Alligator mississippiensis: one gene and its partners. The protein of the gene in region 3 binds, or shares a complex with, the protein of the main gene of each other region. Links are inferred from orthologs where the notes say so. Each region holds a gene or a part of one and is shown on either strand. Other genes may lie near its edges. The genes, in order: CDH26, CTNND1 and CTNNA1.

Region 1 (3,745 bases), about 38 Mb from region 3:
GGATTTGGCACCTGTTCGGAGGGAGGCAGATCAAAACTTGAATGGTACCTTCAGCTTCAGAGAGAGTCCTGTCTATCTGAGACAAGTCTGCAGTTTGTACTGAAGATACAGCTCCTATCATCCTCCATGTCACTGGAGTTTGGATTGGAGACACTGACCCACTATTTTCTTCACTTGCTAAGCCAGCTACACTCTGGGGAGGGCAATCAGGCCAATATGATAAACTCTGCCAGAGACTGAAGTTGTCTTTTAGACTTCTTAGCTCCCCTTTCAAGGGGCTTAACATTTTGCCATAGCACATAGCTTACGGGGGCACAGTAGGCCAAAATGGCACATGCTTGGGATAATAGGAGAAACTGTATTTGGACAAAGCTTCAGGGACACTAAGGTAGATATATTCTTAACTTGAGGCCAGTCCAACAGAACGGAGCCCCTTACTTCAAGAGACCGAGTGACTTGTTTATCAAGATCAATTCATTTTGGAGGTTCCCTGGAGGAGGGTCTGGATAATGCCAAACCTTTGATCTGCTGATAAGAATTACTTGCTGATAAGCAAAAAATACAGGGTTCAATCCCCCTCTGAGCGAAGGGAGCTTAAAACCTGGATCTGCTGCTCCCTGAACAAGTACTTCAGTGTTTAAGGCAGAGCTTTCCAAACTTTTCATGTTGGTGACACACTTTTTAGACATGCATCATTTCGCGACACAGTAATTCAGTTCCGGGGGAGGGGCCAAGGGAAGCAGACGCGAGTAAGGGAGCTCCGCAGTGCCCCTCCGCAAAATTTTCTGCATTTCGCGCGACACACCTACACACTGCCGCCGACACACTAATGTGTCGCGGCACACAGTTTGGAAAGCTCTGGTTTAAGGCATTGAACTAAAACACAGAAGGACCCACTGTGTCCTTCGGTTTTACTAGCAAGCGCCCGTACAGGTGAGCAGGGTGCATCTAGTTCACTGCATGGAGGTTTGTGGAGTCCAAATTGGTGCAGGAGTGCCAAAAACAGGAGTTAGGCAGCTGCACAACTACCACTTCAGCTGTACAGCGCGATGGGAGTCTGTCCCAAGCATCTGCTGTGCAGGACAAGCATACCAGCAAATCCTTAAATGAGGCTCCTACTCGATACAGCTTTTACTCTAACAGGTCATAATGGAAGGAATAACACCCCCCCGTGCCGCCCAAAACCTGCCTATTTAACAGTCAAGTTTATGGCCTCTCCCTGCACCTGTCTAGAAGCTGGATCCTGGAGAAAGACTTTGAGTGAAGCAAATGCACAAACCTCAGTGAGGATGGACCACAACTTTAATACCTAGACCACAGATGCAAAGACCACTGCCTATCATACTGATCAACATAGCTTAACTGGTTTCCTTGCACTCACATGTCGGTCTGTCTATATTCCCCTCTCCCCATCATTTTATATTTGGACTACAGGATCTCCATGGCATCCTTTTGTTCTGCTGTTCATGCAGCACCAGGCACAATGGAGCCCTAGCCCATGACTGAGACTCCTTCACACCACGGTAGTAATTTCGTGATGCTCATTCACCTTACAAGGCAGGAAGGGACTCTGGCTATAAAGGATATAGCCCTCTTCCAAGAGGGTGAAGCAAGCCTGATGCCTCTGCGCAGCCAGGAGCTCCAAAGCGCAGAGAGGAGACTAGTGACAGGGAGCTGGGACTAGTGACGGGGAGCAGGGACTAGTGAAAGGGAGCAGGGACTAGTGATGGGGAGAGGAGACTAGTGATGGGGAGAGGAGACTAGCGATGGGGAGAGGAGACTAGTGACAGGGAGCAGGGACTAGTGATAGGGAGCAGGGACTAGTGACGGAGAGAGGGGACTAGTGATGGGGAGAGAAAACTAGTGACAGGGAGAGGGGACTAGTGATAGGGAGCAGGGACTAGTGACGGGGGGAGGGGACTAGTGACAGGGAGCTGGGACTAGTGACGGGGAGCAGGGACTAGTGAAAGGGAGCAGGGACTAGTGATGGGGAGAGGAGACTAGCGATGGGGAGAGGAGACTAGTGACAGGGAGCAGGGACTAGTGATAGGGAGCAGGGACTAGTGACGGAGAGAGGGGACTAGTGATGGGGAGAGGGGACTAGTGATGGGGAGAGAAAACTAGTGACGGGGAGAGAAAACTAGTGACGGGGAGAGGGGACTAGTGATAGGGAGCAGGGACTAGTGACGGGGGAGGGGACTAGTGACAGGAAGCAGGGACTAGTGACGGGGAGAGAGGGCTAGTGACGGGAAGCGGGGACTAGTAATGGGGAGCGGGGAGTAGTGATGGGGAGAAGGGACTAGTGAGCCGGGGGAGTCTGAAGTCAAGTAGACCAAAGGAAACTGGCACCCCAAGCCCCCTCTACAAGGATCATGCAATTAACTGGTTGATGGGACAAGGGCAATCATATGAAAGCGCAGGGCGCGGGGTCCTGGCTGCCAGGATCCCAGGCTCAGAAACGAGGCCCCGGGACCCAGGTGCCTCCAGGTCCCGGCGGCGGTGACCCCTGCCTCTTGCCAGTGCAAGGGGAGCAGGGGATCGGGCTCCCCATCCACGGGCAAGAAGGCATCTCGCGTGCAACCCTCCCATCGCAACGCGCCCACGCCCGTGCACGTGCACTTGCACTTGCCCTTGCACGCCCCGGGGACGCGCCCGCACCTACCGCCAGCGGCAGCAGAACCAGCAGCAGAACCAGCAGCAGCAGCAGCGGCGGCGGCGGCAGCATCGCGGCGCAGCGCCCCATGGCAGCCGGCTCTCCGCGGCTCGGCTCCCTTTATGGGAGCGGCGCTGGAGCCTCCCCCGCCCCTGCCCCTGCCCCCGCATCGCCGCCGCCCCGCCCGCCCCGCTCCTTGCCCGCCCACCGGCCTCTCCTGCGCGAGGCACGAGCTTGGCTCCTTGCACCCAACCTGGCCCTGGGCTCCCCTCCAGTCTCCCCTGAGCCGCGGTAAAGGCTGGGGTCTGCCCTCACCTTCTCCAGCCACTGGCTTTGTTCTTGACCACTGGCTTTATTGCATCCAAACCTGAGGTGCTAGGGAAGCAAATGTTACCTCTGGACAGCCTGTCCGTGGTGGTGGCAACCACTGATCCTCCTGGATCGTGGTGTATGCCTGAGGGTCACGCAGACCTTCGACGCATACGCCTGGGCAGGAATGTTTTGGAGGAGCGGAGGCTGCGCAGACTTTCCGTCCTCCCTTTAGGCCACTCAGACAGAGCCCGAAGACCAGACTGAGTCCAGATGTTTGGCTGTAGTTGTATAAGCATCTGGGAATTAACCCAGGTCTCCTGTCTGGTCGACAAGGATTCTACCACTGAACCACAGGGGACTCCTGTCCATGGTAGTGGTACTTTTTGTTTGAATGTTGTATTCCAGGATAAATTAGCCAAATCGGTTCCAAATCCTATCGACTGAGCTGACCTCAGTTGTTCAAATCCATGTGGCACTACCACCAGCAAGTCTCCTCTTTCCCAGACCTTTCAGCCTGAAGCTTCAGATACTTCCAAAGCCGTGGCAGGCAGCCTACGTGCAGGACCAAGTATGGAGGTCTTGGGGTTTGGATGCTGCATGTCATTTGCCTTTAACCAACAGTCTGAACGAGCAAGTTAGGGGCAAATCCCCCATCTTCATAAAATCGGTGTGAAGCTGAGCTCTCTCCTAGGGGGGCCTGCCTGCAGTGCAAGGACAGAGGTCTCCACTCTCTACTACACATAGTCATTCAGAGGTCAGGAAGAAGGGGATCACAGCAGA
Region 2 (3,745 bases), on a different chromosome or scaffold from region 3:
CCCTGAAAGAACAAAGGAAGAGGAGGCAAATTAGACAGCAGGAGACAGAGTAGGAAGAGAGATAAGCTAGCCAGGGCAGAGCTAAAATTGTTAAGCCTGGTCTACGTGGAGTTCCCCCTTGCAAATGCACAAAGCCGATCCCTTCGTCCTTCCCACACAGATTAAGATCCTGAGCATCACAGAAAAAAAAAGATTTAAAGTTCAGGATACTCGGCCCTAGCCACCCCCTTCCTTGCTCAGAAGCCCCCAAAGATCTGCATAACCAAAATACTCCCTGCTCCCAACACATAAGAAACCTCCCCTACCCCCTCCTCTGACACAAAGGGAATATTATGATGAGAGAGCAGGGAAGAAAGACAGGACGCTGTCTGTAACACCAGACAACCCTTGTTCTAATGCTAAATGCCTGTCTGATGAGCTATACTCTCTCATTCCCTTGCAAGAGAGCTGCGAGGCTGGCACACAAACTTCCTTTGTTTTGGGGGCAGGAGGGAAAAGCCTCCTAGTTCATGCCTCGCTCAAAGTAGTGACACGCCAGAACCCAGTCAAATGTCTGACATGGGAGGTGAGGAACTGGGGGGGGGTTAGACAGCAATACAAAGCAAACTGAAAGGCTGAGACCCCAAGCCAAGCCTCTCAACACTGTGCTGCTCCTTTACCACAAGACACAATCCTTCTGAAACTACTTTTCAGAGTGCCTTCGATGGTCTTTCCCCACAGATGCCAAAGCATAACCCAGGACTGAAAGGGACCACTCCCAAATAGCCCTAGAAACATTTGCTTGAAGTAGGACAACGTTTTCCTTGTTCTGCTATATCCAAGACCTTGCTGGGGGGAAATGAGGCAGGTGTTTAATTATACAGAATAAGACAAGGGTCTTAAGGGGTCCAGGACCTAGTTTTCTTCACCTAGAAAAATCCCCCCCTACACACACCCCTCCAAGAATCTCTGGCTATGAAATCTAGTCATCTAAGATAAGGCATTACCATCTTAGCACAGCAAAGCGAGAAAAGAAAGCATACCATATTTCCAGAACTGTTACATTAAGCACACACTGCATTCCCTGTAATGATTCTGAATACAGAAGCACAGTCTAGTTCCCTACCCTAGCCTGCCACAATTAAACTGAAACTAGATACTTCTCTTTTTTATGGTGAAATTACAAAATTTAGAGAGGTGGGAAAAAAGACCCCATACTATCACTACCAGGGGATCCTAAACCCTAGTGTGTTGCTTTCATATAACATTCTTAGCAAAACCCAACAAGTCCAAATCACAGCACCATGCCAGACAAAACTACAAGAGCTCAAGGCAGGTTACGGGGAGTATAAGTAGATGTTCTTTTAAATGCCATCTAAATCTTACTACATTGCATTCCTACATTACTGACTCAAGCCTGTTTGCTTACCAAGCTATTTTGATGCATCCCATTTACCAAATGTATATGATCTTTTGAAAGAATTTAAAGGAAGAAAAAAAAATGTACTGTGCTTAAGTTACCACACACTTCAAAAACAGTAAAGTTTTTTTTTTTTTTGGAGGGGGGAAAGAGCGAGCAAGTCAACAAGCAAGTTGTCAATCAGAGCTTGGAATCCTTGAAGGGGCTGGTAGGGAAAAACCTCCTGCATTTATTTCACCCTCCTCTCCTCCCCCCCCAGAAAAAAAAGGAAAAAATCAAGAGGGAAGTTCTCCTTCAACATGGATTCTTTTTAGAAGGTTAAGAGAAAGGTCCCCACCCAACTATACCTGGAAGAAAAAAGGGATCCACCCATGCAGAAAGTGTGGGTCTAAAAAATGTACTGGAGAAAGCAGCTTAACCACACTCCCAGTGAGAATACTTGAAAAGAGAGACCTGACCAAGTTAAAAAAAAAACAACAAAAAAAACAAAACAAAACACAACAACAAAAAACACACCCTGAAATTCTCAGTTTTCCCAAAGTTTTAAAAGAAATATCCTACTTAGTGCAAACAAACTTGAAGCTTCCTTTTTAAACATGACTGAATTCCTTCCCCTAGGAAACATAGGGGATATCTATATATAAATATAGATATATAAATAAAATCAGCCCTCTTGCAACACCGCAGTCCAGGAGTTGTGTATTAGTTTGCATCAGATACACTCACCTCCCCAGAACAGAAATAGTTAAAAAACCAACAGCAGCCACCACCATCATTTAAAACAATAAAAGAACGAAAAGAAAGAAACTAGTCTTACCCTGGCTTTCTCCCCTCTCAAAGTTGCACCAACAAGAGTCTCCAAGTTGGTTTCTCCTCCTTGTATCTTTTTCCCCCGCTCTTCAAAGCAGCAGATTAAGAAATGGAAAGAGGGAGGGGGAGAAGTTGTCAGCCGGGTTATTCCTCTGCCTCCTCTCTTTAATATCTCAGCATGACAATATCCAACAACAACAACAAAAAAAGACCCTGGGTGGAAGCCTTCTTTTCGCCCTTTACAAACACACGCACCACAAAAAAAAGCCACACCAAAGAACTCTAAAGTCGAGTTTCCCAAGAAATCCCTAACAGGAAAACGAGAGCCCAATCCCTGATCAAATGAATTTAAAAAGAGCAAAGCGGCAATCTCTTCTTCCACCTCTCCCTTGCCTGGGATCTTCTCTTCTTTCTTTCTCTCTGGCGGTTTTTTTTTCTTTCCCCTTCTTTCAAGATCCAACACCTAAAATGGAAGTTGCACCCAGCCAAAGGCAAAGCAAGCTGGGTGGTGACAAACTAAGCTTGCCAACCCAACCCCTCTTTCCCTAAGTGATGTCAGCTTCTGCAAAGCTCCAATGGGAAGCAGGCATCAATCAGGGACCCGAAAACATCCAATAGGAAACTTTAGTCTAGGAATTAAAAAAAAAAAAAAAAAAAAAAAAAAGGGGGAAAAAATGAGGAAAAAAAACAAAAAAGGAAAGGTGGAGAGGGGCGCGCGAGAGAGTAAGAAGGGACAGAAAAATAACTTTTTTGGGTGAAGACAACTGAAAACAAAATCAGAGCAGGAAATAAAAAATAGCTGCGAGAAAAGACAAAGCAAACTTGAAAAGATAATCATTAGGGTATAGATGTGGCTCAGCTACCAGCACTCTTCATTTGTCTTTTCTTTCCCTTCTTTCACTCCTCTCTCTGTGTTGGCAAACTCAAATACATATTTGTAGTTGTTTCCTGTGCTCTCCTCCCTCCTTTGCACCCCAAAAGGAGAACGGGAATTGCAAAAAGGAGGGTTGGGAAACATGCTTATAATCAACCGATAAGAGAGGCTGAGATTTGAAATGCAACCTTGATTAGACTACATTTATCTATATGAGCCCAGATTGTGAGAGTTGCCATCAAATCTTGGTTGAGGGGTGGTTTCCTGTTTTATTTCAACCAGAGGTTTTTGCTAGCAATTAAGCACACTGATTTTTGGGTAAAGCAGATTAGGAATTTTCACTCCCTGCTTTCTCCTAAAAAACAGTGAAGAAGAGAGCTCCTTTGATTTGTATTTCTAATTCAGTACAGTTTGTATTACTGTATTGTATTGTATAATTCAATACAATTTCTATTACTAATTCAATACACTTCACAGCTTGTAAATTACATTTACAAACCACCAATTAATACAGAGAGGGAGAAAAATGCTCTAAACTTTTGCATTGTGGCTGTGAAGGATGTTTGCTTTGATTACATTTCTAAGAGTGCCAACCTGTGAGAGAACTAGTGCTATGTGATAGCACTTAGCTAAGTGTGGGAGTTGCTGGGAAGGACTCATGG
Region 3 (3,745 bases):
CTGACAGTGACTTGGGATGAAATTGCCCCATGCACCTGTTGTCTAGGAGGCATCTCAGAGCTAAACTGAGAAGTAGCTGCAGCAGAAAGACACACTGTCTGTGTTACATAATAAAGGCAGACAGTTTCACTTGCCCCACACATCTGTTTCCAGGAGACACCATGCAGGGTCAGACTCGGAAGAGCTGCAGCAAGACCACAAGTTCCTGCCATAGCTGCTTCCCAATCTGGCTCTGCAGAGGGCATACAGCACAGTTCCACATGGCTGCAGCAGCAGTGGAGTGAATAATGATCTAATAAATTAAGACTCTATTAACAGTTATCATTACACTTATTTTAATAATTACAATATTTGTAATCCATTTGTATTTTTTTAAATTGGGTTGCCACTAAAGTTTAAAGTTTTAGAGGGCAATGAGCCTAAACAAGTCAAGCTCTATGGTGCACAAATAGATAAAAATCTCTCTCCAACGTTCTTTAAAAAGAACTATCCATAAGGAACTGCATTTGGCATCATGCTGTCCATGCACTTATCAGAAGCTTCTTAAATTTCCTCACACTTCTCTGTGTTTGCCTAGTCTAAAATAACCCATATGCAAATTCTTCTATCCCTCTGCTCATCCCCTTTCCCCAAGAAGAACTAATTATTGAGATGAGTTTCATCTATCCCCAGTTATCTTACATTTTAGTAAATATGGTAGTTCTACCTTTTCAGTTATTTTTCAAAACTTCTGGAGCAGAGATCAAAGGTTTAAAGTGGTAGGGAAAAACACACAGCATGGCTTAAAAATTAGGACTCATCTCCCTAACTAAAACATTTAAGAAAATGTCTTGCAGTTTTTATGGTCAGTGTTAAACTTTTGAAGTACGCAGAATAAACAGGCTCATTATGAACTATTTAGTTTCCCTTCTATGAACTTTGAGATGCTGTTTGATATCTGTAAATGACAATGAATTCATAAACATTTCACAGGTCTGATAAAATTAAGTGAAGGAAATGATAATTTAGACATTTTTTTTGCCTGATTCAGTTACTGAAATGCTTCCCTTGAAGCTTATGGCGAAATTGCTTTTTATAAAAACAAACAAACAAACAAAAAAACCCAAACATTGCCAGAGTCTACAAATTGAAAATTTATTTAGGTAGAATTTTAACCTGAATTGAAATTATACCCAGTGTAATTACTCCTGCTTAATTTCTCAAATTCCTTTCTTATGGAAGGAAGGGGTGCACCAATAAAGATTTTCTTGGCCGATACCCATAGCTGATTATTCATCAGGCATATCAGCCAATACTGATCCAATAACCCATTTACAGGAGCACAGCCGGGCAGCCTGGAGAGCAGCTCTGTGCAGGTAAGTTTGTGGAGGGGAAGGGCAGGGGCAGATCGAGGCCCCCACAGGGAGGGAGAGAGTGGGGCAGGGGGCGCTGCCCAACCAGGGCAGTGAATGGGACCCTGGAGCTGGGGCGGGGAGCGGGACAGAGCTGCAGGCTGTTCAATCAGGGGATCAATGTCCTAGCACTTAAAAATGGTGCTGGGGAAAGAGGGGGCGTAACAGAGGGATCCTGCGTGACCTGTTTGCTCCTTCCCAGTTTGGTGGCATTTGCCAGACATTTGAGGCTAGTGAAGAAACAGGAATCATTGGAAACAGTAAAGAAAGGCACAGCTCAGCTGCGGGAGCAAAGTGCTGAGCACATGATAGTTCAAGATGGCAATCCCCAGCACCGGTGCCAGAGCATGGCATGTGAAGGCATTTTCCCTGGCACCCCCCGCCCCGCAAGGTGGAAGGCAGAGAAGGGGCCGTGGCCCCGCTGTCACGACAAGGATCGGGCCCCTGCCACACCTTACAAGTCCCGGGCTCAGGCCTTTTTAGCACTGCCCAAAAAGCTGCCGACAATGTAGGTGAGGAGGTTTCCTTGCATGCAAGGGGCTTTCTTCCTCACGCTGATTATGGGGGAAACACCCCTCGGGGGAGGGGCTGGGGAAGGGCGGCTCCGAAGTCCGTGCAGTCGCGCAGGGAGCCGGAGGACGCGTCACAGTCCGCGCGGGGGGGGGGCGGGGAAGGGGCCGCCCGGGCGGGGGGGGTGGGGTGGGGTGGGGTGGGGTGGGGGGGCATCGCCGCGGGGAACGGCAGTGACGTCAGCGCCGCCCCACCCCCGCGCCTCCCGCCGCTTGCGGGGGGGGGGGGGGCCGCCCGGCCCCTCTCGCGGCCGACCCAAGCAACGCCCGCACCCCCTTGGCCCGGCCCGGGGCCTCGGCAGCCACAGGGCAGCAGCGGGCGCGGCCATTGTTCTCCGCGTCCGGCGGCGCCGGCCCCGCCCGCCTGCCCGGGACAGCCGGGCCCCCCGGGTCTCCCGCCGCGCCCGCTCGGCACTTTGCAAACTTTGGGAGCGGGTCCCGAGCGCCCCGGCCCCGGCCCGGCCCGGCCCAGCGGAGGGGACCTGCCGAGGAGGGGGCGCACGGGGCGGGGGCGGCAGCAGGAAAAGTTTCTAAGAGGCGGAACCGGGCCGGGCCGGGAGTTACCTGCGGTCGGTGCGGTGCGCGGTCCGCGCTGTCCGTCCGTGCGTCTGTCCCGGCGCCGCTTTGTCCGCCCGCCGCGCCCGTCCCAAGCCAGAGGGGAGGAAGCGGGCTCTTCCGGGCACCTCCCCCCGCGGCCCGGCCGGCTGTTCCCAGCACCGCCCCGCCGGCCCCTGGCTCTTCCCCGCACCGCCCCCCGCACAGGTGAGGGCGGGGCGGGGCGGGTCCCGTCCCGCAGGTCCCGGCGGCGGCGGGCTCGGACTCCAGCTCGCGCCCCGACGCTTCTCGGCAGGCGGGACTGGACGGGACTGGACTGGACGGGACCGGCCGGCGCGGGGCTCCTCTGCTCCTGCGAAGCGGTGGCTCTGGGCAGACGGCGCTGACAACAGCGAGCCGGCTACCCGGGACTCGAGTCCTGCAGTAACCGGGCCCGTGTCAGTGGCACCACAGAGTGAACCGCAACCTTACCACCCCAGCTCAGTTGTCCTGTTCACCTTGTGGCTGGTTCCCGTTGGGCCCTAAACCGCCCATGTGGCCCAGCTCAATGGCCCTCCTCAGCAGGCCTGCTTACCTGGCGGGGGAAACACCTGGGTCAGGTCGGTGAAGGCAGTTTCCCCCAAGCGCTCGGGGGGATAACTTGTTGTGGTGTGGTTTAGTACCCTCCGAGGTGCTGGGGCTTAAAGACCAGTTTATGGAAATGGGAGGCTCCTCCCTAGCTTGCTCCTGCAGATGCATGGCTGAGGGCAGGCAAAATTTGGGGACATCCTAACCCCGTGCCTCCAGGCTTGGGCCTGCACATAGGATGCCTGCCAAACAACTCTGGAAATATCTGAAGCCCCAGATGGGGGTGGAGGATGTTTGCTAGTCGCAGGGCCACTTATGGTTCTGGACCAACTCATGGATTTGGACTTGATTTGGCTGGAACACAACAAATTTCTTAAAAAAAAAAAAAAAAAAGCCTTGGAAGCCCTCAACTCCTGTGCGCTCAGGAGGCCGGGAGTGCTGCTCAGCTGCCTGCCACGCCCAGCTCAGACACATCGCAGCTAAGGGCAACGTGTCCCTGAGGCAGGGAACCAGGGCAGATCAGCTGCCACTCCCAGCCGCAGGGTGCACAGGAGCCCCGGACTCCAGCGCGCTCCAGGGGCTGGGAGCAGGGATGAGCTGACTGGCCTCTTACTTGCCAGGATCATGATCCCATGCCACCCTTGAACCAGCAATATGGCGCAA

Evidence for each region.
Region 1: CTNNA1 (region 3) and CDH26 share a complex: the UniProt entries of both Homo sapiens proteins name them as parts of the cadherin:catenin adhesion complex. The link is inferred for Alligator mississippiensis from reciprocal best matches to the Homo sapiens genes CTNNA1 and CDH26.
Region 2: CTNNA1 (region 3) and CTNND1 share a complex: the UniProt entries of both Homo sapiens proteins name them as parts of the cadherin:catenin adhesion complex. The link is inferred for Alligator mississippiensis from reciprocal best matches to the Homo sapiens genes CTNNA1 and CTNND1.

The regions. Positions count from the first base shown.
Region 1 is NC_081832.1:7,416,520-7,420,264, forward strand, and holds the start of CDH26 (cadherin-like protein 26), read right to left. Parts: upstream 2,733-3,745; 5' UTR 2,726-2,732; coding exon 2,663-2,725; intron 1-2,662. UniProt on the Homo sapiens protein: Cadherins are calcium-dependent cell adhesion proteins. They preferentially interact with themselves in a homophilic manner in connecting cells; cadherins may thus contribute to the sorting of heterogeneous cell types.
Region 2 is NC_081825.1:172,458,603-172,462,347, forward strand, and holds the start of CTNND1 (catenin delta-1), read right to left. Parts: upstream 2,732-3,745; 5' UTR 2,592-2,731; exon of another isoform or gene 2,297-2,591; 5' UTR 2,217-2,296; intron 1-2,216. UniProt on the Homo sapiens protein: Key regulator of cell-cell adhesion that associates with and regulates the cell adhesion properties of both C-, E- and N-cadherins, being critical for their surface stability.
Region 3 is NC_081832.1:45,892,361-45,896,105, forward strand, and holds the start of CTNNA1 (catenin alpha-1), read right to left. Parts: upstream 2,610-3,745; 5' UTR 2,525-2,609; intron 1-2,524. UniProt on the Homo sapiens protein: Associates with the cytoplasmic domain of a variety of cadherins. The association of catenins to cadherins produces a complex which is linked to the actin filament network, and which seems to be of primary importance for cadherins cell-adhesion properties.